Drosophila melanogaster: one gene and its partners. The protein of the gene in region 2 interacts with the protein of the main gene of each other region in a pairwise test. Each region holds a gene or a part of one and is shown on either strand. Other genes may lie near its edges.

What was found.
Region 1: the proteins of Cyt-c-p (region 2) and CG10527 interact in a two-hybrid assay, tested with the Drosophila melanogaster proteins (one large-scale study listed by BioGRID).
Region 3: the proteins of Cyt-c-p (region 2) and CG9014 interact in a two-hybrid assay, tested with the Drosophila melanogaster proteins (one large-scale study listed by BioGRID).
Region 4: the proteins of Cyt-c-p (region 2) and s-cup interact in a two-hybrid assay, tested with the Drosophila melanogaster proteins (one large-scale study listed by BioGRID).

What each region holds. Positions count from the first base shown.
Region 1 is NT_033778.4:21,069,833-21,074,605, forward strand, and holds CG10527 (uncharacterized protein), read right to left. Parts: upstream 2,958-4,773; 5' UTR 2,903-2,957; coding exon 2,893-2,902; intron 2,064-2,892; exon of another isoform or gene 1,972-2,063; coding exon 1,570-1,971; exon of another isoform or gene 1,229-1,569; coding exon 750-1,228; 3' UTR 536-749; downstream 1-535.
Region 2 is NT_033779.5:16,717,997-16,723,174, forward strand, and holds Cyt-c-p (cytochrome c proximal), read left to right. Parts: upstream 1-1,935; 5' UTR 1,936-1,980; intron 1,981-4,012; 5' UTR 4,013-4,053; coding exon 4,054-4,380; 3' UTR 4,381-4,648; downstream 4,649-5,178. Other genes in the region: Cyt-c-d (cytochrome c distal), read left to right, coding at 1,139-1,456. UniProt on the Drosophila melanogaster protein: Electron carrier protein. The oxidized form of the cytochrome c heme group can accept an electron from the heme group of the cytochrome c1 subunit of cytochrome reductase.
Region 3 is NT_033779.5:13,721,618-13,725,375, forward strand, and holds CG9014 (uncharacterized protein), read right to left. Parts: upstream 2,026-3,758; 5' UTR 1,915-2,025; intron 1,868-1,914; exon of another isoform or gene 1,859-1,867; 5' UTR 1,821-1,858; coding exon 1,452-1,820; intron 1,394-1,451; coding exon 776-1,393; 3' UTR 544-775; downstream 1-543.
Region 4 is NT_033778.4:12,493,959-12,501,706, reverse strand, and holds s-cup (stanley-cup), read right to left. Parts: upstream 6,036-7,748; 5' UTR 5,870-6,035; coding exon 5,508-5,869; intron 3,430-5,507; coding exon 3,279-3,429; intron 1,753-3,278; coding exon 655-1,752; 3' UTR 248-654; downstream 1-247.

The DNA of each region.
Region 1 (4,773 bases), on a different chromosome or scaffold from region 2:
TTCACATGCTGGTTACTGACTTTAATATAGTTGATAGACTAAACCGACTCAGTTATACCCTTAATTTAAATGTAAATAGGCCAATATGATATGTTTCATTCATTTTAAAAATGAATAAAAGAAAACATGTTTTGGTATAAATATATATATATATAGCAATATGTTCCTTGTACTGCCAACATTTCAACTAACTTTGTATGAGTGTTTTATGGGTTCACTGATAATGAGATTAGGAATAGATTTTCATTGAGTGGGAGTAAATTATTTTCAATTGCCTGCTTAAACTAATCTATAGATTTCAGTCATTTCATTTCAGTCATGATTTTATTAAAAAAAAAGAATGTTTGATACTAATTTCATTGAGTACAAATGGATTAAAAGGTGATTAATGATTGCGATAGAACTGTTAGATTCACTAAAACCAAAATCCAACTAATCTTAACACACCACTTTTTTGAAAAATTAAAGCAGCTATTCAGCTTATTTTATATTTATTTCCAAGCTTAATGAATGCAAATAAGTGCCTATTTCAGATATGTTATTTTCTTAAACATATTTATTGTTTATTAACCAATTTCGTTGAACAATGTAATAAACTTTTCGACATAATATAGAGATTCTTTAACAGTTTTGAGTAGAAATGCACATATAAATAAAATAAAATTTCTGCGACCAGTTGAACTGTAAAGCGCTCAGATTAACTGATTTAAAACGTTTTGTTTCAGTGCGTTGGACATTCGATCCGTGGCTTAGTTGGTCACATAGATTTCGAACTCCTTGTAGGCCAGCTCCTCGCCGCCGTACGGAATGTAGCAGCATCCGTGGGAGGGCTGCACCTTGCCCACAGTGATAGTTCCGTCGTGGGTGGCACGGCCGATGAACAGTGGTTCGCCCTCGGCGGTCTCTCCGGCAGGCAGGGCGTTGGGCGGGATGTTTCCGGCATCCACGGGCAACCACTGGCCGCCGCCGGCGCACAGCACCTCGTATTCGGCGTGGCCGTGCTCACCACCTCCCCAGGCTACGTAGGTCACTCCGTGGGAGGGATGCAGCTTGCCGGGAATGAGGTCGCCCTCATGGCGGGCACGGGCGATGTACAGCTGCTCGCTGCTGTCGAATCCTCCCTCGAGGGCGTTGGGTGGCACCTCACCGTTGGCGGCGGGCACCCAGCATCCTGGTCCGCTTCCTGTGGGCGCGGCGAAGCCCATGACGGGAGCCGATGGAGCGGGCTCTGCAAGGAAATAGTGGCATTTGTTAGAAATTCATGAAATCATTAGCAAATCTTATACATATATGTATATATAATAGGCAAATACATATTTATAGCAAGGATATAGTCTTGGAGAGCAATTAAGTGTTATTGATCAGTACTCAATAGTACCAACTCTACGAGTAGCGGGTATAGTAATACTCGATATTCAAACTGAAGCAGCTGACTAGACAATAGATGCCATTGAGCAGCTGTAGAACAATAGCTAACTTAGATCATTACGATGGGTAAACTAATCAGAGAGGGTAAACACCTGTGCTTTCCGTTTGATAGAAAAGGCGTGGAACAGAGTGTAAACTCACCATCAATCAGCCAGGTGCCGCTGGCACCCCATCCCGTGCAGATGCCGACGAAGTTGACCGGGAACAGGCTACCAGCATCGTAGGAAAGGAAGGCGGCGGCGTCTCCTTCGCGGCCAACGGTGATGACATTGTCGTACCAGCGCACCCAGAAGCCACGGAACTCTCCGGCATCTAGGATGCCCGGAGTGGGCACCTCAGCGACTTCGGGCTTCTGGCGGTCCTTGCGGATCACCGACTTGGTGTTCTCCCATCCTCCCAGAAAGATCTCGAAAATGGGACCGTTCTCCTCGGGCGCGGGTGTGAGTGCCAAATGAGCATCCTTGGGGGAACGCACCTTGAAGGTAAAAACTCCACCGCTGGCGGGGAAGAATTGGTACTCCAACTTATCGGGGGTGTTGACTTCTGCAAATGAGATGGCATATTAGTACAAATTCTCAGAGGCAACTGTACACTCGGCTACGTTTTTCTGAGCCAACTGTACCCACTACTACTTTGAAAGGTGGGAAAGTTTTGAGGTTTGAATTAACAACCTCAAACATGAGAATGTTGTCATAAAAAATACTTGAACTGGAAAGAATTCGTAGCTATTTTTATGTTTGTTAGGTTTCTACGTACATATAAACATACATATATCAGCATGTTTAGCGTCTGTTTTTGTTTTCGCTTGCTTATTAGCACCATTCGCATGATGTCATTTAGATCGCCATCAGTTCTTCGCAACAAATTGTTCTAGCTAATTCCACTCAAGCTTAATTTCGAGTTTTGAGCTCTGAGCCGGCTCTACTGCCACTCGAGCGACAAACATTTGCCCAGATATATGCGAGGTTTGTGCTATTCACTTTGAATAGATTACACGAATGGTTTCTCAAGCAGCATTATTTCGCATGACATCATTGGAGGTGCATCTTTCGTCTGACCTCCCTAGGGTCAACCCTGCTGAATTCCTATTGATTATTGTCGGAGTTCAAGGCGAAGACCAGTGACTCATCGCATATGGTGAACAATTTCGGACACCTTTGGTCGAGAATCAATTCGATGGGTCATAAATTAGGCCAAATAAAGGCAGTCCAATATGTATAGCATATTGCCGTTAATTGAATCTGGACGATCACAAGGTGAAAGTCGCTTGTATTTTTCACTGGTAAAAACCCAGCATAGATAAAGAATGGGATGTTTCGATTCTAGGAATTGGACGACACAATGCTATTTTGGTCGTGGGCCAAAAATTCCGCCGCACATTTCCCTATCTTTAAATTCACCCAATTATCCATTCCATTATCCAACTGCTCAGGGCACTCCACCCACACCCACTGGGAAACTCACCGATTGGCATGATTGCTGTTTCAATCAACGATGTTCGCTTACTGAGATTCTGATTCAAACTGCCCCAATGGAGCCCAAATGCCGGCGAGGTAAGCAATGCTAAAAAACCGAGACGGTGAGAGAGTAAAAGCTCCAAGAGCTTTGGCGCTCTCACTTGCAAAGTGGGAGATCGTTGGCCATATAGAAAGTATTCGAACTGTACCAGCTCGAATAGCTAACTTATTCACATAGCGGTATACTGCACATGCTAAGGCTTATCTTTAATTATTTTAAAGGCAATTATTTTTCTTAAATGTAAATCTTAATTAAAGGCTGATAATTTCTAGCATAATGGCATAGCTTTAAAAAAAATTTCTTTACTTACAAATGTACATATAACTATTTTGTACATGGGCACAATATTAGATAATTGTAATTTCCTTTTTAACTTTTTGTTCCCTGGACTTTCACCTCGTGGTAAGGGCATGTAAGCTTCGGTATAACTAAGGTAGTTTTGTCACCTAGTTTTGCTTAAGAGGTCTATGACTCAGGTTGGCAAAAGCTGCTGCTTAGTCATCAGAACCATAAGCAAGCTTTTATTGCTAAAATGCTTTTTCTATGGGCATGATAATTTTCATATCGCTATGCGAATAAATATTTACTATTTACTACTGTATGCAAGGTGTACAATTAGTATGCAAGGCACTTAATGATGTGACCTATTCCAAAAAAGGAAGGCCCTAAAAAAATCTATTAAATAATGAGCTATAAATTGGTTAAAAGAATTGGTTGATCTTAAAATAATGAATTTCTTGAGTATAAGAGACTTACTTCTATACTCTATGATGTTCCAATGCTTCTAAAATATATGATTAACTTTCATTTCAGCTAGGGTACATTCTATTCGATCAACTTGTGTTTCGCCTTCGTTTGCCGTTAGTAGTGTCGTCACTTATTTTGGCGTCATGTGCCGCTTTTATATTGTGCGGTCACATGGATATCCAAACCAGGGCATCAAAAGCTACTGTCAATGATTTCACCGCAAGGGTCCAAAATGGTTGATGCTGACATAATGTGCTAGACTCTAGACAACAATAATAATAAGATTACCCATTGGGTCATCATTTATTTATTGCGCTGCCGAAGTAGATTTAAAAAAGTATAGTTGCAGCATATGGTAGCATACTTTTGGGGTCACCCTCTAATTGAGTGCCAAATGGTAAGACTGTTTTTTTTTACCATGCTTTTTTATCCGTCCTGTGACGGAAGCGGGATTATCTTTCTTTACGTCACCACTGCTTATTTCTTGGCCTCTCAATGTCAGTCGGTTTTCTTTCGTCTCGCCGGTTGGTCGCACTTTTTTTTACATTTATATCGAAACAACGTGCATGCGCAGAAATCCCCACGAAGTAATATTGTCTAAAATAAACAAATTGTTATTTGTGTTCCCAGCTGCCGGTGGCCGTGCCAAATTGTCTTGTGATAAGAGTAGATCAATTGCTCACGCCGTGCAACTTGGTGTATTTATAACGGAGACAGCTGAACACACAGCCAAAAATATATAAACATACATACACACATACTGTGCACGACGACAGACGAGTAAACAAACAATGCACTGCTCAGGAAAGGACTTAATTTGTTCTTAACTGTGGCGTAGTACTAGATCATTTTACAAAGAGGTTACACTCGTGTTGTTTGGGTCAGTTCAGTAGAAGCATGGAAAATGGCTTCTTAAATATTTTTAAAGGCTCTAGGCGAAACATTGTTGTAGTTTGTTCTTTGTTTCGTTTGTTATGAGTCAGGCGTCTGAAGTTTAACCTTAATAAGTATAAAACGCATGCCGTCAAAATATTTCATCATTTATATCTAATCTTTCAGATAACTTTTCAACAGAATGCA
Region 2 (5,178 bases):
CTTGCACCATTTATTTATAGTGGTCCGGCAAAAGAACTCGGGCCAACAGGCAGGATAGTTTAGCCTGCGGGTAAATTATGGTTCCATTGCCAATTAGGTTAGGTCACAACCAGGATGTCCCATTGGGGATATATGTATGTATGTATGTAGATGGATGCACAGGGAGTACACCTAATACCAGTGCAGGGCTGCCAGGAAAATGTCATTGTTTGGATTTAGAATGTGACATTTACATACGTACGTAATATAAATATATAAATAATATCATTCTCTGAAAAATATCATAATGCACTCTTGTAAATTTAAAACAAATTTAATTTTAAGATAATTGGTTGAGATAAACATAGTTAATATTTTCAATTGATCCTTTAAATTTTAAATTGCAGGTGAATATCATCCCTGTGTGACCGTTGTATGCGGCATGGTTCCATGTCTCTTTCCCGTTATTCATTTCCCTCTGCTTTGTTTTTTTTTTTTTTGGTTTTGTTATGCGGTGGCATCTGTTTTTGCCACAGGAAAATGGTTGAGAGAGGGGAAGGCAGGGGGCGAAAGCGGAGAGTGCGTAAAATGCGTTTTAATTGAAAGGAAATGTTCAAAGCACATGTGCATCTGCTAGTCAACGAATTGGTTGGGAAAGGGGGTGGCAAGCCGAATGTGTCTGCTAATTGAATTACCTTTCGGTTGCTTTTCCCATTAGAAGTGCCGACAAGTTCTCGAGCTGCTTGTTTGCTTTTCATTTAATACCCATTTTGATTTAATTTTCGTTTTTCCTATTTTTCTGACCCAATTTTGTTTTGCTTTCGTGCATTAGCAGCTGTCTCTGTCTATCGCTGTGCAGCCAAGAGAGTGACCAAGAGAAACGCTCTCTCTCTCTCTCTCAGTTGTCCAGGACTTGCACTTTTCAAACGGTTTTTTAGGACACTGAAACAAATTGAATCTGTTTTTCTTTTCTATCAAATTTTTAGTTCTACACTTTTCTTTTTCATGATAGTTTCGGAATCAACCAATTTCTATTTGATCCAAATTAACAAAAAACAAATAACAAAAAATTAAAAAATATAGAAATAAAAGCTGCATAAAAAGTTGAATTCTAAATCATAAATATCATTTTTCCCTATTTGTCTTTCAGGCTTCCAAGATGGGTTCTGGTGATGCAGAGAACGGCAAGAAGATATTTGTGCAGAAGTGCGCCCAGTGCCACACCTACGAAGTGGGCGGCAAACACAAGGTGGGCCCAAATCTTGGCGGGGTCGTGGGTCGCAAGTGTGGCACAGCAGCGGGATACAAGTATACCGATGCCAATATAAAGAAGGGCGTTACCTGGACAGAGGGGAATTTGGACGAGTACCTCAAGGACCCGAAGAAATACATTCCCGGAACAAAGATGGTGTTCGCAGGTCTTAAAAAGGCTGAGGAGCGGGCCGATTTGATTGCCTTCCTCAAGTCAAACAAGTAGAATCGCCTGCGAAACAACAAGATCGGCCACCATGCTATCCAGAAAACTGCGCTTAAAGACTACAAACATATTCAAAAGATGACGTATTTCACTTGGATTTCGAAACTTTGATTGGGAATGGTCGAGCTCAAATACATTTCAAAAAGGTTTACTTTCACTTTAGCCAATTAAAGTTGATAAACCAAAAACCCTCTTCTTAATTCAAGTTGTGTGCGACGCGGGTGGAGGAAAGTGTTGTACCAATCAGCTTTGGTCACAGTTGGTTTTATGGTCCTACTAGCAAAATGTAATAAATTGGAGAAGCTTGTTAAATAATGCAAATTTTCCAGAGGCTTTCCAATATAGTCCCGTTAATAGGGGAAAAAATTACTTATACGCCGTGTGGTGGATAAATACGGGTACAAAAGCTTGCGACATTTTTTAATGCGTGGCCCCCGGTCACTCTGGTCACACTAATTACCTATCGACATAACGCGCGCTCGTCATTCGTGAAAAATCGGCGACGCTCGACGTTTGTGTTCAATGTAAGTAGTGGGTGGAATTTTTGTATTTTCAAGTGACGTAAATATTACCTTGAATAGTTATTGATTATCAAGCCCCAAGTCAGATAAAGATTAGAAACACTTCCGTGTCATTTACGTAACATCCAGCAGCTGTGTTTTGTTCTGAAAATGATTCGCATGCAAATTTAACGTATTCTTTGGGGGATGATTCAGGTTACATAAACGTGTCCTTGTGTGTGTGTGTATAAGTGTGATTTTTTATTAGATATTTAATAGTTTATTTAGCAAATATTAGCAGTGGTGTATTAATAGTAAAAATAGCATCCCAAAGTCACATTGCCATTGAAAAAAGCCCCGGAGAGAGTCGATTACATGAGCAAAGAGAGTGGCGTACCCGATCATCAGCTGTCTCGCTCGCTCAGTGGCAAAAATTAATTCTTGGATTTTTTGTCAATGCTTCAGCTTTGGAGTCTTTAAGCGCGCCACGTGGTTGCTAAGCAGGTTTTGCTTTCTGCGATGTGCAGTTTTCTATAATATAAATAAAAGAGAATTCACCTCTGCGAAAAGGCGGCTTATGTAACATTCGCTGCTCTCAGGAAACTTGGATGTTGGCCCAATTTTCACTCATCTCTTTGTTCTCACCACCTTGCTCACCCACACAAGGAAAAACACAGCTGCCTTTGGCCTGCTTCCAATTTTCCAATTGCACTTTCCCTTCATCTCACGCACACTCACGCACGGCAATTAACTGAAAAATACTCAACAAGGCCAAATCGGATGTTGACATTGTTGTTGCTTTGCCACCTCTCACTGCCAAAGTGCATGATACTCTACACAGAAAGAAGTGAAAAAAAGGTTGATATTAAATGCAAATTATGTGTAAAAGCGCACAAAATCAATAGTCTATATATATTAGGTTTGTTTTTATAGACAAATGCATATAAAATAAAATTAGTTTTCTAGAATTGAAAGAGCTTCAGCTAATCGAATTTCTCTCAGTCTATGTGCGTGATGTGTAGGTGAATTACTCACCGCAACGGTACTTTGCACTCTCAAGTTCAAATTGCTGCATGCAATTTATAATCCGGCAATTAGCAGGATGACCGTAACACAGACCCTGGAATAATAGAATAGTTATGTAAACAACTAACGTTTTTCGTATTATGATGCTTCCTGGAAGTTTTCCGCCTGTTGCTGAGCAGTTCTGACGCAATTAATCGGCGACTGGCAAATATAAGCGAGTGAGACACAAAGAGAGTGTGAGAAGGAGAGAAAGAGTGTGGGGGCAACATGTGACCAGCGTCTGAAGCTTTTTCAAAGTGTGTTTCTGATGACGTTGCGACGCCCTCCACGCGCGTATTAGTGAGAGCAAAGTATGTGGGTTAAAAAGGGGGTGGCCGCAAATGGAAATGCAGACTACGTTAGATAATAATTTCGGGCCTTATCAGAAACAACAGCCGACTAATGCACTTAGCATGAGCAATTTTAATAATTCCGTTTCCGCAGGGAGCTTATCAATTGTTTACATAACGGGGCAAGGGGACAAATATTAATTCACGGTCCATAACTACCTACATTAACCCATTATTTCCCAAGCATGGAAATTTTTGATGATATAAAGACGTTATTATTTTAATACCTTAAAAATATATAATATTATATAAGTAACGTTGGGAAATCAACTGGTTAATAAATTTTAAATTTCGGGTTTATTTATTCAATAATCTTTTGATAATGTATGGCTGAAAGTGAAGCTTTTATCAGTATCTACACAATGGTTCATTGGGGCTAATAATAAATGGTATCAAATATCGTATAACTATTTTTTGCAGTGAAACCAGAATTTCGGACTAAGTACATAAGCAAATGATATAAAATATATATTGTAATCAATTTATCAGAATAGAACAAATTAATTGGTAGCAGTTATGAACTTTGAACCATTTAGTAGCCAGTTTTTTAAGTTTTTCAAACCTAAGATGTAAGATAACAGATATATTGGTTACCCTTGTTTTATGAACCACTCATTAATAACAAACATTTCTTTTTACAGTCGAGTCCGTGTTAACACATTAATTAACCACATAATCCATAATGGGCGTTCCTGCTGGTGATGTTGAGAAGGGAAAGAAGCTGTTCGTGCAGCGCTGCGCCCAGTGCCACACCGTTGAGGCTGGTGGCAAGCACAAGGTTGGACCCAATCTGCATGGTCTGATCGGTCGCAAGACCGGACAGGCGGCCGGATTCGCGTACACGGACGCCAACAAGGCCAAGGGCATCACCTGGAACGAGGACACCCTGTTCGAGTACCTGGAGAACCCCAAGAAGTACATCCCCGGCACCAAGATGATCTTCGCCGGTCTGAAGAAGCCCAACGAGCGCGGCGATCTGATCGCCTACCTGAAGTCGGCGACCAAGTAATGGTGCTGTCCATCAACTTACCCACAACCACTGCAGGATGTCAAACTGTATTATTGTGTTCAGTCACAGTCCGGCACGCAAATGCAGCAGCAGCAACAACTACAACTACAAATCAACATAGTACAGACCTAAAGAACTACAATTATGTTAATTATAAAGTTTAAATAGGACAATTTATTATTTAATTTAAATAAAAAGTGGAATATTTAATTCAAACCCGATGAGAATTGTGACATCCACAAAAAAGTTAAATAATAAAAAAAGAACTAAAAAATGATATAAAATCTGTTTTATGCGAGGACCTGGTTTTTGTAGCTCGCAGGTCAAAAAGAATAAAAAAAGCTTCTTCAGATTTTTGACTCGGGCAACTCAAATTAAAAATAAGAGATACCAATCATATTTATAAAACAATTGTCCTGGCAATTTCTATCAATAGGTATCTGTTAGTCGTCAAACTCGACTGCAGCATACTCTTTGCGTCTGTCAAAAATGTTGTTGGCTGATCTATATAGGCCTTACTCATCTGAGTCGCACAAAGATGACCACAAATCATCCTGGGTTGCTGCAAATTCCTTAGTTCATTGCGTGGAGGTAGACATCACTAAAAACATCCAACAAAGAAAGAGTCGATACGTTACGCAGAAACATCACAATAAGATTGTATTACTGAGAGAGAAAGTAGAAAACTATTAGGGTCGAAATGCTCTCTTAATGCACATTCTATTTGGCCAATCGTTAAACAAGAATACACTGGTATTTTTATATTTTTTGGCTAATTTATGTATATTTTCTTTTACA
Region 3 (3,758 bases), 3.0 Mb from region 2:
ATCGCATCGAAGTAAGCTGCTTGCAGTCCATTAATTTTCATTTGATCAGAGATCTCGTTTTCAATTGCAGGCTAAAATCGTAATGGTCCCGAAAATTTATCTCAGCTGGGAAATTAAATTTTGTACAATTTGTAAAACTTTTCCAAATGGTGTCGCCAACTGCCGCGAACCGAGCACAGCCAAACTTTTACCATTTCCATTATAAGTTTTACTTGATGCACCCACCGCAAGCCCAACCAACCGCCCACCCACAGAAGGAGCAACCTCAATCCCAGCTTATGCGTTTATTTAATTTCGCTCCAACATTACGCATACGCCCGAGTGTTCACTGAGCTTCTATAATTGCCGCGTAATTGCCGAGAAGAATATCTGTCAGCTACAACGACAACTTTAAACTGTGAGTGTTGCTGCACTGAACCAATCGATGAGGGAAGTTTAACAAAACCTTAAAAATTTCAAAATTACATACGTTTCATAAAAACTCTTCGATAGTATTGGGAGCCCTCAGATTATTCATAAGGTCCGACATTAAAAAATAACACGACCATTTGTTTGTTTTCTATTTACGTAACTCGAATTGATAAAACATATTTATATTTTTCATTTTGACGACTTTTGAAGTACGATCGTGTAATTTAAGACAGTGAAGCAACATGACCATCATTCCAAAACAAAGGACGTGGAAAACGGGCAGCCAGTTGCGCTTTTGTGTTGTGTTACCAAAATGAATTTAGATGTGGAGGATACAAGCAGGATGTGGTGACCCATCATTGGCTTAAATAATCTCTTCGCCAAATATTACCTCATTCACACCGTCGACGAAGATCATGACCAGTCCGAGGATGGGGCGCAGATTCTCCGGCATGTGGGTGTTTTCGCCGCCCAGAACAACCACGCACGGTTTGCCAATGACCAGACCGGGCACCAATCGGGTGACATACCGACTCATGAGATGTTGGTTCTCGCGGCGATCGTCCAACGTCATCAGACCTTCGGGCCAGCGATCCTCGTGGCAACGTTCAACCAGCATATTGAGCATATGCATCGGACAGCCGCTTTCACGCAAAACGTCGCGCACCATCAGGTGCATGGGATTGTCCGGCGTGGAGATCAGACTGCCCCACGTATGGATGTTGGCCAGAGGGAGTCCATGGCCCCACTGCATCAGTGAGAAGCGGTCCAGTTGTTCGCCAATGTTGCGCAGCATGGGATTGGTCGATCGCAGTGCTGCGATATAGTACTGGAACAGCTCCATCTCTCGGCGCTGGCTGGAGCTCTGCTCCTCCATATCGGATTGCTTCTGCTTCAGATCGGAAACCTCCTTCGCCAGTTTCTCCACCAGCTCGCGCAGTTCGAACACACAGTTGTGGCGCGACATCTCGTCCTTGGGTACCTTTAGCGGGAATATTATAGCTATCTTAAGCAGTTCAAGTTATTCCCAGAATGTTCACCTTCATTCCGCACCCCTTGCTGCACTCGACAACCACCTTGGGATTATGCTCGCAGGCGGCGACATGGGTCCGGAACTCCTCGAGGGCCAGCATTTGGGCACAACCGCTTTGCGAGAAGGTGCACTTGATCTTTAGGCGGGATAGCATGTTGCGCATTAGGCGCGAAACGGGCACCAGATGTGAGGTCAGTAGCCCGGAGCGGTCCACCGGGCAAATCTGTTTCTGGATCATCCACTTGTCGATGCAGGCGCGACAGAAGGCGTGCTCGCATTCCGATGACTGGACCGGCTCCTCCAGGACATCTGTGCAAATTGGACAGATGAGCTCCTCGTCAACGTGGCCCACAATGCAGTTTAGATCAAAGCCCATGACGAAATGGTTTGATTTCTATACCGAAGTTTATGTCGCTGGAGAATCTGAGATGTTATTTTTTTTTGGCATGGAGCCACTCTCATCCACTTACCACTGAGTTCGATATGTACTTATACCTATATCCGAAACTCGATTTTTACAATATTTCGATCAAAAAGTTAGTTTTTACGTCGGCGCTGAGTTGTGTCCGAGCTGGCATCTGATTAAAAGCCAACTATGTGTATAGTTATGCATAGTTATATAAATAGTATATATAGTTTATTTTTGTAAATAAAAATCCTTTTCTTAAGCTAAGAAATACTAGGCCTTTCGATCATCTGTTATGCAAACAGCTCTCATTGAGCCTTCTACCATTTAGGACACTTCAATTTCAATTCAAGCGCAACTGAAACCAGCCAAACAACCAACAGAACACTGGGAGTCATCCATCCAAGTGGGCCAAGAGCAAGTGGGGTGGGGGCGAATGGGTCTGAGAAAACGTTTTCTTGAGGCACTTGCATATAGTGCGGTCGTAAAACCCTTTGCATATTTATAGTCCCAACTGCTGCGGAAGTTATGCAAATTGGAAAACTTATGGTACGACAACCCGGAATAATGCCAAACGTCCAGCCAACCTTCGGCGACCACGTTTTAACTTAGCCTGCACAGAGAAGCGATGCGAAGCGAAGCGAGGAGTTGAATTTTATTTATAAAGTGAAATTTTAACAAATTAACAGCAAATGCTGGGACATGGGCAAACAAATAAACTTTCCATCTTCAGCTCCACAATGGCCGAATTTCGAACAAACACTCATCAGACGACACACAGGCATGATTGTGACAACATATTGCCATGTCAAAATATTTACACTATATCAACTGCTCTATGCAAACTCGAATGTATATACATACGTGTGTATAATAGAATGGGCATTGTGTGACTGGAAATTCGGTTTTTAATTTCACTTGGAAGCGTCATTCGCTTGGATATTAAATTTCATGTTTTGCCTAAGAATGACATTTGCTTTTGTGTGCCTTTTTGTGCATTTTGTTTGTGACAACTTTACTGCATCGAATCCTTTTCGTTGGATTGCAATTTCAGTCTAGTGCTACCAAATGCTTATCTCCGAATGCAACTGTCAGTCTGACATTTTAGTTTACTTTAAATTCCTGCTCAAGCCTTTTCAGTTTGCCATAATATTCAAGACTCATTCTTTCATTTCGTTTTTATCTTGAAAAACAGTAATCGAAATGCTTGAATTGATGAGTTGAATAAATCACAATTGATATGCGATTCCCCACTCCGGCTGGTGTGAAATATTCTTTAATAAATCGCATTTTGTGCAAAATAATTAAGTCCGTGTGGGGTGTGGTGTTCGTTTTATCAATCCATTGGCTTTGCGACGTTCAATAGCAATATTTCACATTTCTGAGCTGATGGAGCGCATTAGAAAATAATCAACAATTTTCATTTGACTTGGCTCCGATAAAACCCATCATCCAGCAAACACAAAACGAACCACTCAAGCAGGAAAATTTAATAAGTTTGTACGTAAGCATATACACAGCTCGCCACAAAAATGTTTTTCCAACTGATCTGACCGCATTTGTGAAAATCAGCATTGATGATTCGAAGGCTCCTAGAGGATGCACACACTCTGATGAAAGATTTGGATAATAGCTTATGATGTTTTATATATTATAGAAGTGCCTTTTTTTTTGTTAATAAAATATATATGTACATTTGAGTGCTGTTTTTTTTAAGTGCAAGAAGATCATGTTTGGTTTTTCCGAGTGTATTTATGTACGAAACCCAACTAATAAGGTTAGCAACGTGTAAACAGTCATTACGTGAGTGGCTCTGTGTTAGCATGTAACGAGCCACAAATGCTTGCCACACAATGTTTATTTGCATTTATATTTGCTGTTCTTGCGCCGTTGTCATTTCATTGCAAC
Region 4 (7,748 bases), on a different chromosome or scaffold from region 2:
GACGGGCGGCGAGCGGTTGGGTGGTGTTGCTGTTTTCTTGCCGCTTGTTAGACGTTGGCTTTGGCGATTTGTTTGCATGCCATTTCTTGCTCTGCTTTCGTTTTTTATCATCCCGCCTGCGTTTCCCGCCTCCGTTTTTAATGCAAAATCAATCGGATTGCGCCCAGCCGAGCATTCTAAACTAAAAACTGTTCGCGTGGAATAAGGCGAAGGTTGCGGATTGAGGTTGCTTATTAAACCGCTTGTTGCGTTCAATTACAATTTTTGATTTTATTGATACGAGTACTTGACACGAACATTTACAGGGATATGCACTGGCTTAGCTCTAAAACATTTAAACGTTAAAATTATTGTTATCCGTTTTGCTTAAAATGTTATTTTCTCTGTACTGAGAGCGTGATATTTTTGTCAACCTTTTTAACTCAAAAACACCTAAAGTAAGTGTGCTTTTCATAGCATATCAAAGAAAGATTCTAGCCATCTTTTTAGGTGGTTGAGATTCAATGAAATAACTGAAAACTAAACTAGTTTCTTATTCTGCAGTAATAACACATGAATTCACCAATCTCAACCTATCTTAATCATAGTTAAAGCACGATTGTGGTTTAGGTTTCGGTTTGCAGCCATACAACTAATGTGAACTGCTTGTTAGGCTCACACATAACCACTGGACTCCAGTTTGATGGCACCCTCGTATGTGGGCAGCCCCGATCTATCGATGATTTTGCTCATGTCCAGGCTGATGATTCCATTCTCGTTGATGTTGTCCAAGTTCTGCTCCTCTTGCTCCTTCTGCTGGCCTGTGGCCAGCTCATCCTCCCCCGATTGCCCGTGGGATGTTGCTGGTGCGTCGGAAGTTGATGGTGTGTCCGATGTTGCTGCGTTGTCGTTTTCATCGTTGGCAGCAGTTATGGAAAAGAGCACGGCATCATTTTGAGGTTGCTCATCGAGAGTGGCGGCCAGAAAATTGCCGTTGGCCTCATCCTGCAGATCGTCACCAGAAATGTGGTTGCCATTGCCATTGTCGATGTCGCTGGGGCAGGGGCAGATAGACGGCTCATCCTCCTCCCTGCGCCCGCCCATGTTCAGACCGCTCTCCACGGACAGAGCGGTCAGTGGTTCATCATCGACCTCACCTTCATAGCGGAACTTGCCGCACAGCGGACAGCCACGCCGGTAGTGGTTTGCACTATGCTGATGGCTTTGCTGCAGGTACCGCCGTCCGAAGGTGTTCAATCTGACATTCTGTGCCGGCTTACGTACCTGCAGCGTCTCCATTTCCAGGCAATTTCCGTTCCGGGCAGCCACCGCCGCCGCAGCAGCATTCCACATGCTTTCCACCTCGGCCCGCTGCAGCGAGCAGCAGGATTGGGCATTTAGGGCCAGTTGCAACTGCTTGTTGACCAGCAGGCCATTGGAACCTCCTGGTGCGCACTGCACACTGCCACTGGCCACCGCATCCACACTGCCATCTGGTGTGCCGCGACCGAAGCTCGTTGCCGGCTGGCCGCTGATGTCCAACGAGGATCGGTATCCTGGCGGCGGCGAGACGCGTTGCATCAGCAGCTGTTGCTGTTGCTGCAGTTGCAGCTGTAATTGCTGTTGCTGCTGTTGCTCCAGCTGCTGCTGGTGGAGCTGCTGTTCGTGCAGCACCACTGCATCGTACGAGGGCGGTGGTTCGTGGTGCAAGGCGGGCACGGCGGACAGACCATCAGTGGAGTCGCCTAGGAACAGGCCAGAAGTCTCGTAGCACTGAGGGATTAAACGAACAATTAAAATCGATTAGCAGGAGGATAAAAGAGGAATTTGCAAAGATTGTAAGGTTTGATTTTCTAAAAGCAATGTAATTTTTCCCTGATGTGGAGCTGGTATATAACTCTCAAGGTCGTGACTAATTGCCGATCTCCGCTTGGTCGCTCTGTAAATTACTTTCTTAATGGAGACGCGGTGGACAAGTGAAATTTACGCGATCAAATAAAAAGTTTAAATTGCACACATCATAAATTTATTTGTCTCTGCCGCGCAATCTGCAATCCCATTCTCATTCCTATTGCCACTCCCATGCTCCCGTGCTAGAAACCCGCCTTCTTCTGTCCGCAGTTGACATCTGTGCCTGGCCAGACTAACGTTGATTTACGTGGAGCCTTTTGCCGCCACTTTCCCCCCACCCCCCTTTCCCAGCGGGCCAACAAACAACAATGAACTGAATGATGGCCTATGGTGGGGCTGGTGGGTGGTTGGATGGTTGTTTGGTTGGTTTGCGGGTTGGTCGGTGGATTGTGGGCCGAATGGGAAGGCGGCTCGTAACCTAATAAAGAGCACGGCCAAGTGAGTGCGACTTCTGGGCCACTTGCACTGGCTTGGCTGGCTGTATGGCCAGCCGCAATTGTCGCGCCCTTTTGGTCAACTGAACCCACTTTCCCCCGGATGTGGCACCTGTTAAATGCGGCGCATAAATATCCATTACACTCCTGCTGCTCCATCCTCTCCCGCACTTTCAGTTTTCGACTTACTTTCAAACTGTCGCCACGAAATGTTGGCTTACACTTGAAAAGGGACAATTATGGCCGGATTGTGTGTTGTTCTAGCGCCCAAATGCCTAAAACATCAGAATGGTGGATATTATTATTATTATTATTGTGATTTCGGCCACCAATTGGAAAACTGGGCTGATTTGATTGAAGCTGAAAGCTGAAATCGAAAAAACTAAATTGTTTGCTTGGAAAGTTTGTTGTGTAGTTTGCTTAATATCATATATGTATATATTTGCACTCTTTTCAGCCAGCACTTAAACTTAATAGTCGCTAATTGATTTTTAGCATTTGATCGCTTTGAAATTGTATTCGTATTGACAAAAGCAAATTGACAAGCCAATCACTGATAAATTGCCATTCATTTAGGTATTTAGCATGCTTTGAATCTGGTTAATGTAAGCCTAGGACTTGTATAACTTTATTTATTTAAGAGCCAGACTTACTCTCCCATTTTTCACACACGTTTGGAATGTGTGCTACTTATTTGAACCACCAAAGAGAAGTAAATAGCACATACTGCCATTACTGGATATGATTAATAAAATTCTGGTTTCCCCCGAATAAGCAATGATGTCCGTCGTCCACTTCCATTGTGGCCCAACTATCATCCACTTGGAATGCCGTTGACATCCGTTTGCAACTATGGCTGGGTGGACAACAAAGCTCTCTGCCAGAACCCCGGGCATCATGGACCATCTATGCATAGGCTTTGAGCATATACTCGTATTAGCTCCTCCAACTCACCTGCTCCACGCTGTATATTTCCATGTTGGGATCGCCCTCGAGCCACTGATGCTGCTGCTGCCTGTAGGCGGCCTCCGTTCGCTTTTTGATGTTGCGATGGCAACAATAGCAGACCACACACAATATAGTCGTCACCAGGGAAAGCATTGCTCTGCAACAAATTAAATCGAACGGGGATGTGAATGCAATGCTATTCATTGAATGTTATAATGTTATTCCAACGACGAAACAGACATCAGGCCAACATTCAAACATATTTATTTGCTTTGGCTGGTGACACGAAATTGATTGCGGGCCTTCGATAAATGACCAGTGCGATAATAACGTATTAATACGCATTCGGTATTTATTAATTTTGCCATACAAATTGCTAGTGCTTGTATGTTTATTTATATTGGGTTGGCTTTGCCAGCATTTTGATAGCATAAATTTGCCACGAAATATTGACATTTATACATCATGGTAGCGGAAATTACTCTTCTTGCCTTCTCGGTTTTAATTAGATAATGCAGTTTTGGCTTTTAATTCGACTCCCAACTCATCTTGCAGCCAAACAAAGGGCAATTTCAATGCTCGCAAGTATGAAATGTAGAGCATATTGCCAATTATCTCGATTTAACTAAGCTGCCACAAACACACACACACACACACACACATTTCAAATCGGCTTGGAGAATGTGTGTGTTAGCCTAATAATATTCCACATTTCGCCTTTTGTCTAAAGAGCTAATATTATGGATTTATCAAATTTTAATTGTCTGTCGTTAGGTGGCTTAGAATAGTCAGATTATGTCAAGTGCTTTTGTTTATTAAACAAACACAATATGCCTTGAAATTTGGTCAACAAATTCCCCATAGCTGGTATCAGTGAATTCGGAAAGGTGTAGCTCTATCTGTTCCTTAATTCGTCAATAAATCCGAAATGACCCCACCACTATCAACTGGATTGCCAGTTATCAAATTTTCCTTTTAGCGCTGTCGGCCAATTTATGTCGGTTTATTGAAACCCACTGGTTTATTTGGTCGGAAATGGTTTCGTGTCGTGTCGATTTCGTAGCTCCAGGCATTTCCATGACGTCACTTAATCCACTTTAGAATGCAACATTGTGTCCCACTTGTCTGTTCACTGTCTTCCACTGGCCCACGTACGTCCTCCGATTTTTCTCTCGCTCGTTTTTTTTGTTTTTTTTTTTTGGCTGTTCATTTTTCCCGGTTCACGCAATTTCTCGCATGTCAACAGTTCATTAGGGCCCTTTTTTTTGGGGGGCTCAGCTTTTCCGGCCTTCCCATTCCGCAGCGACGAAAACAGACAACAGCGATTTCCCCCACTCCGGTTTTTTATTTTAGCTATTTTCAATGAACTGCCCAAGACAATCGATAAAAAAGTAGTTAAAATAAATTTTTTTTTTGGCTTGTGTGGGTCGCGCGTGATGTTTGCAGACACTAAGAAAACCCCATAAAAGCGTGTTTACAAAACCTCTTTGTTGCTCTGCGGTTACTCCGAAAAAATAGAATAGCTCGTGTTGCACATGAAAGTTTTTTTTTTTTTTTACATTTTATTAACAAGCAAAGCCAGTGCTAGGATGCTAGGGTTTCGACGAAGCAAAACCGAAAGTAAAAAAATGCCCCGGCACAATTATAATTATGATTTTCAGCGCAGAAGAGCGGAAGCCTGACATCTTCTCTTGCTGTTGATGCTTATTAATTCGCAGCTCCTTCCCATAAATCAAGTGGTGCCAGGCATTATGATCTATGGTAGTATCTTGTAATATGCTTCTTGAGTGTTCTTACCAAAGGGGTACTTGCTGCAAACATTTCACTGGAATTTTCAAGATGCTCCTTGTTGTCGAACGAAAACTTAGTGGTTAGCTCTGATTATTGAATGGCAAACTAACTTGTGGCAGTAAACTATTAGCTGGAATGACAGCCACATTTCGTATGAATTATCTATATGAAATGATTGCGGTATCCTTTAAAAATACTGAAGAGAGCTTCTTTAAAATGTAAATACTTGAACAATTCCGCTCTCGTTAGCTGCGAAGCCAATTGTTTTGGGCGAACTTTCTTGGCAACTCTAATTAATTAATTGCCAAATGACTGAGGGGAATGCTCAGCTATTTGCCAAAACTTCCAGACACTCTTTCGCATTTCCCACGGGCCAAAAGGTGACTTAACTTATCGCTTGAACTTCGCATCAGTCGTATGTTCCAACTGGCAGGACAGACTTACCCGCCGAGCAGCAGATTCACATTGCCGTTGACAACATTTGCATATGTCTGGGGTCCACTAGGTCCTCCGCCGCCACCGACGCCCGAGATGACGGATCCGGAGCCACTGCGCTGCTGGTGATATTGCCCCAATCCGCCGGTGTAGTAGGTGGTGTGTGTGACAATCGAGGAGGAGGATGAGACATGCTCCTGGGACTGCAGCTGTTCCTCGCTGACGAAACTTCCAAACGCTGACGAAGATGATGATGGCGGCAATGGTGGTTCCGTTGTGGAAACCAGCGATATTGTTGTGGCCGGGATTGTGTGATTCTGATTCTGATTTTGACCAAAGGCCAGCAGAGTTGCATAACGTTTGAGAGACATTTCACTGCGAGTGGAAATCGAGCCACGGCGATTGCATAACGATTAGCGCGGCGCACTCATTACATGGCCATTAGCACGCACACTTCAGCCCCGAAGGAGGCGCATCTAGCCTGGCTAACAGCGAATACCTCGGCTCTAGACCGCAGCAAGGACGAAAGGCGACTGCCAGGAGCTAGCCCTCGCAAATCGACGAGCCGAAGGCTACGGCGACTTCAGCACGACAGCAGCACCGAGTCAAACATAAAACTTTGGACTAAAACTAACACAAACACTAAACGAAACACAAGTTTAATACTTTTTTATAAAAGTTTCCTTGACTTGTCATATGTTTAAATATTTATTTTCGAATTTCATACAAATTTATGGATTAAGTAAGTTTGAGGATATATTTCATTAATATCTTCTTAAAGTTTATTTATTTTCTTTTAATAGTTTTCACAGTTGAAATTAAATTTGCGTCACCTTTATCTATCATATGTTATTATTTATGTAGTATTATGTACATATATATATTATTTTAATGCACTATAATCATGAACTTGCAAAGAGGTTTGGAATTCGATACGATTTTTTCCTTTCTAAGGAATTAACACTTTTTCATAGCCACATTGTTTGCATAACTCAATGCATTTAAAACTTTAAGCCATTATAGCCTTTTTTTTTTCTGAGTGTAACTGGTAGAACGATCGATGGCCAAGGCAAGTCTATTTCCGTAACTCTTAGTTTTGGCCGCGAACCGCGAGTTGTGCGTCTGGGCAAATGCGTTGCGCTGCTGCAACTGAGCTCCGGCTTGACTTGCTGACTAGTTTACTGGCTGGCTGGCTGGTCGTCCTGTCCCGAGGACTTTGGCTTGGCTTATCCTTTTGTTGTGAACCCGACGAAGTTGCCTTGGCAACCGAACGGGCCAGCCTTCGGCTTGGACTCAGCACTTCGGCTGTTTAGCTGCTGATGTCTGTGGTTACTTCTGCTCGCTGCTGCTCGCCTGTTCCACGTTGCGTTGCCCATTTTTCTGTGGCTTTCCCTCTCCGGTTTTTCGGGTTTGGGGTGTTCGGTCCGCCGGCACTGGTGGGTGGCAAAAGGATATGTCGACGACAAAGGACAGGCAGAGCTATTTGTATTGAGTTTCCCCGTACCCAAGTTCTCCTTCGGTTTCCACACGTTTCACGTCAAATTGAGCGCCAAATGCTTTTGTATGCCCGTATGGTTTGTCATTATTGCTGCTGCTGCTGCTGCTGTTGTTGTGGCAACCGTGCATGCCATTTGAACAACACTTGTCGCCAACTGACATTTTTCACGGCATGCGGCCATAAATAATAATGCGACTCAGAAGCAACAGTCCATGCCGCGCATATTGAGCATGCAACATGCTGCTTCGCGGCACACGCTGCGTATGCGTGATGCAGCAAAAAAAAAAAAATGCAAGCCACTTATGTTGCCGAAGGGAATTCAACTGTTGCATTTATATGCACTTTTAAGAAACGAATTGGTTGAGAAATGTTAAGATATGGGTTAAGAAGTGTGTATCATTAAATGTAAAAATTCTACGTTTAGTAGAATCTTAAAGATAAAGGTGAACGCATGAATGCCACTTAGCATAATATATCGTTGAAAACACAATGCAACCACAATCGTTCTTGATGTGCCCCATATATTAGACATCTCACCATATGCAAACAGCTCGCCAAAAATCCGCCACAATATTGTTGCTAAATGTTGAACCAATTTCCGCATAAATGCCTATGAAATGTATAACATTTGCATATCGGCCACATTTTAAAGCAACCGAATGCAATCATCATCATAATTGCCAGCCGTTAGCAGCTAATTGAAATGCACGAATTATTTTGGCAAATTTACTTTTAATTTATGGCGCACTCGC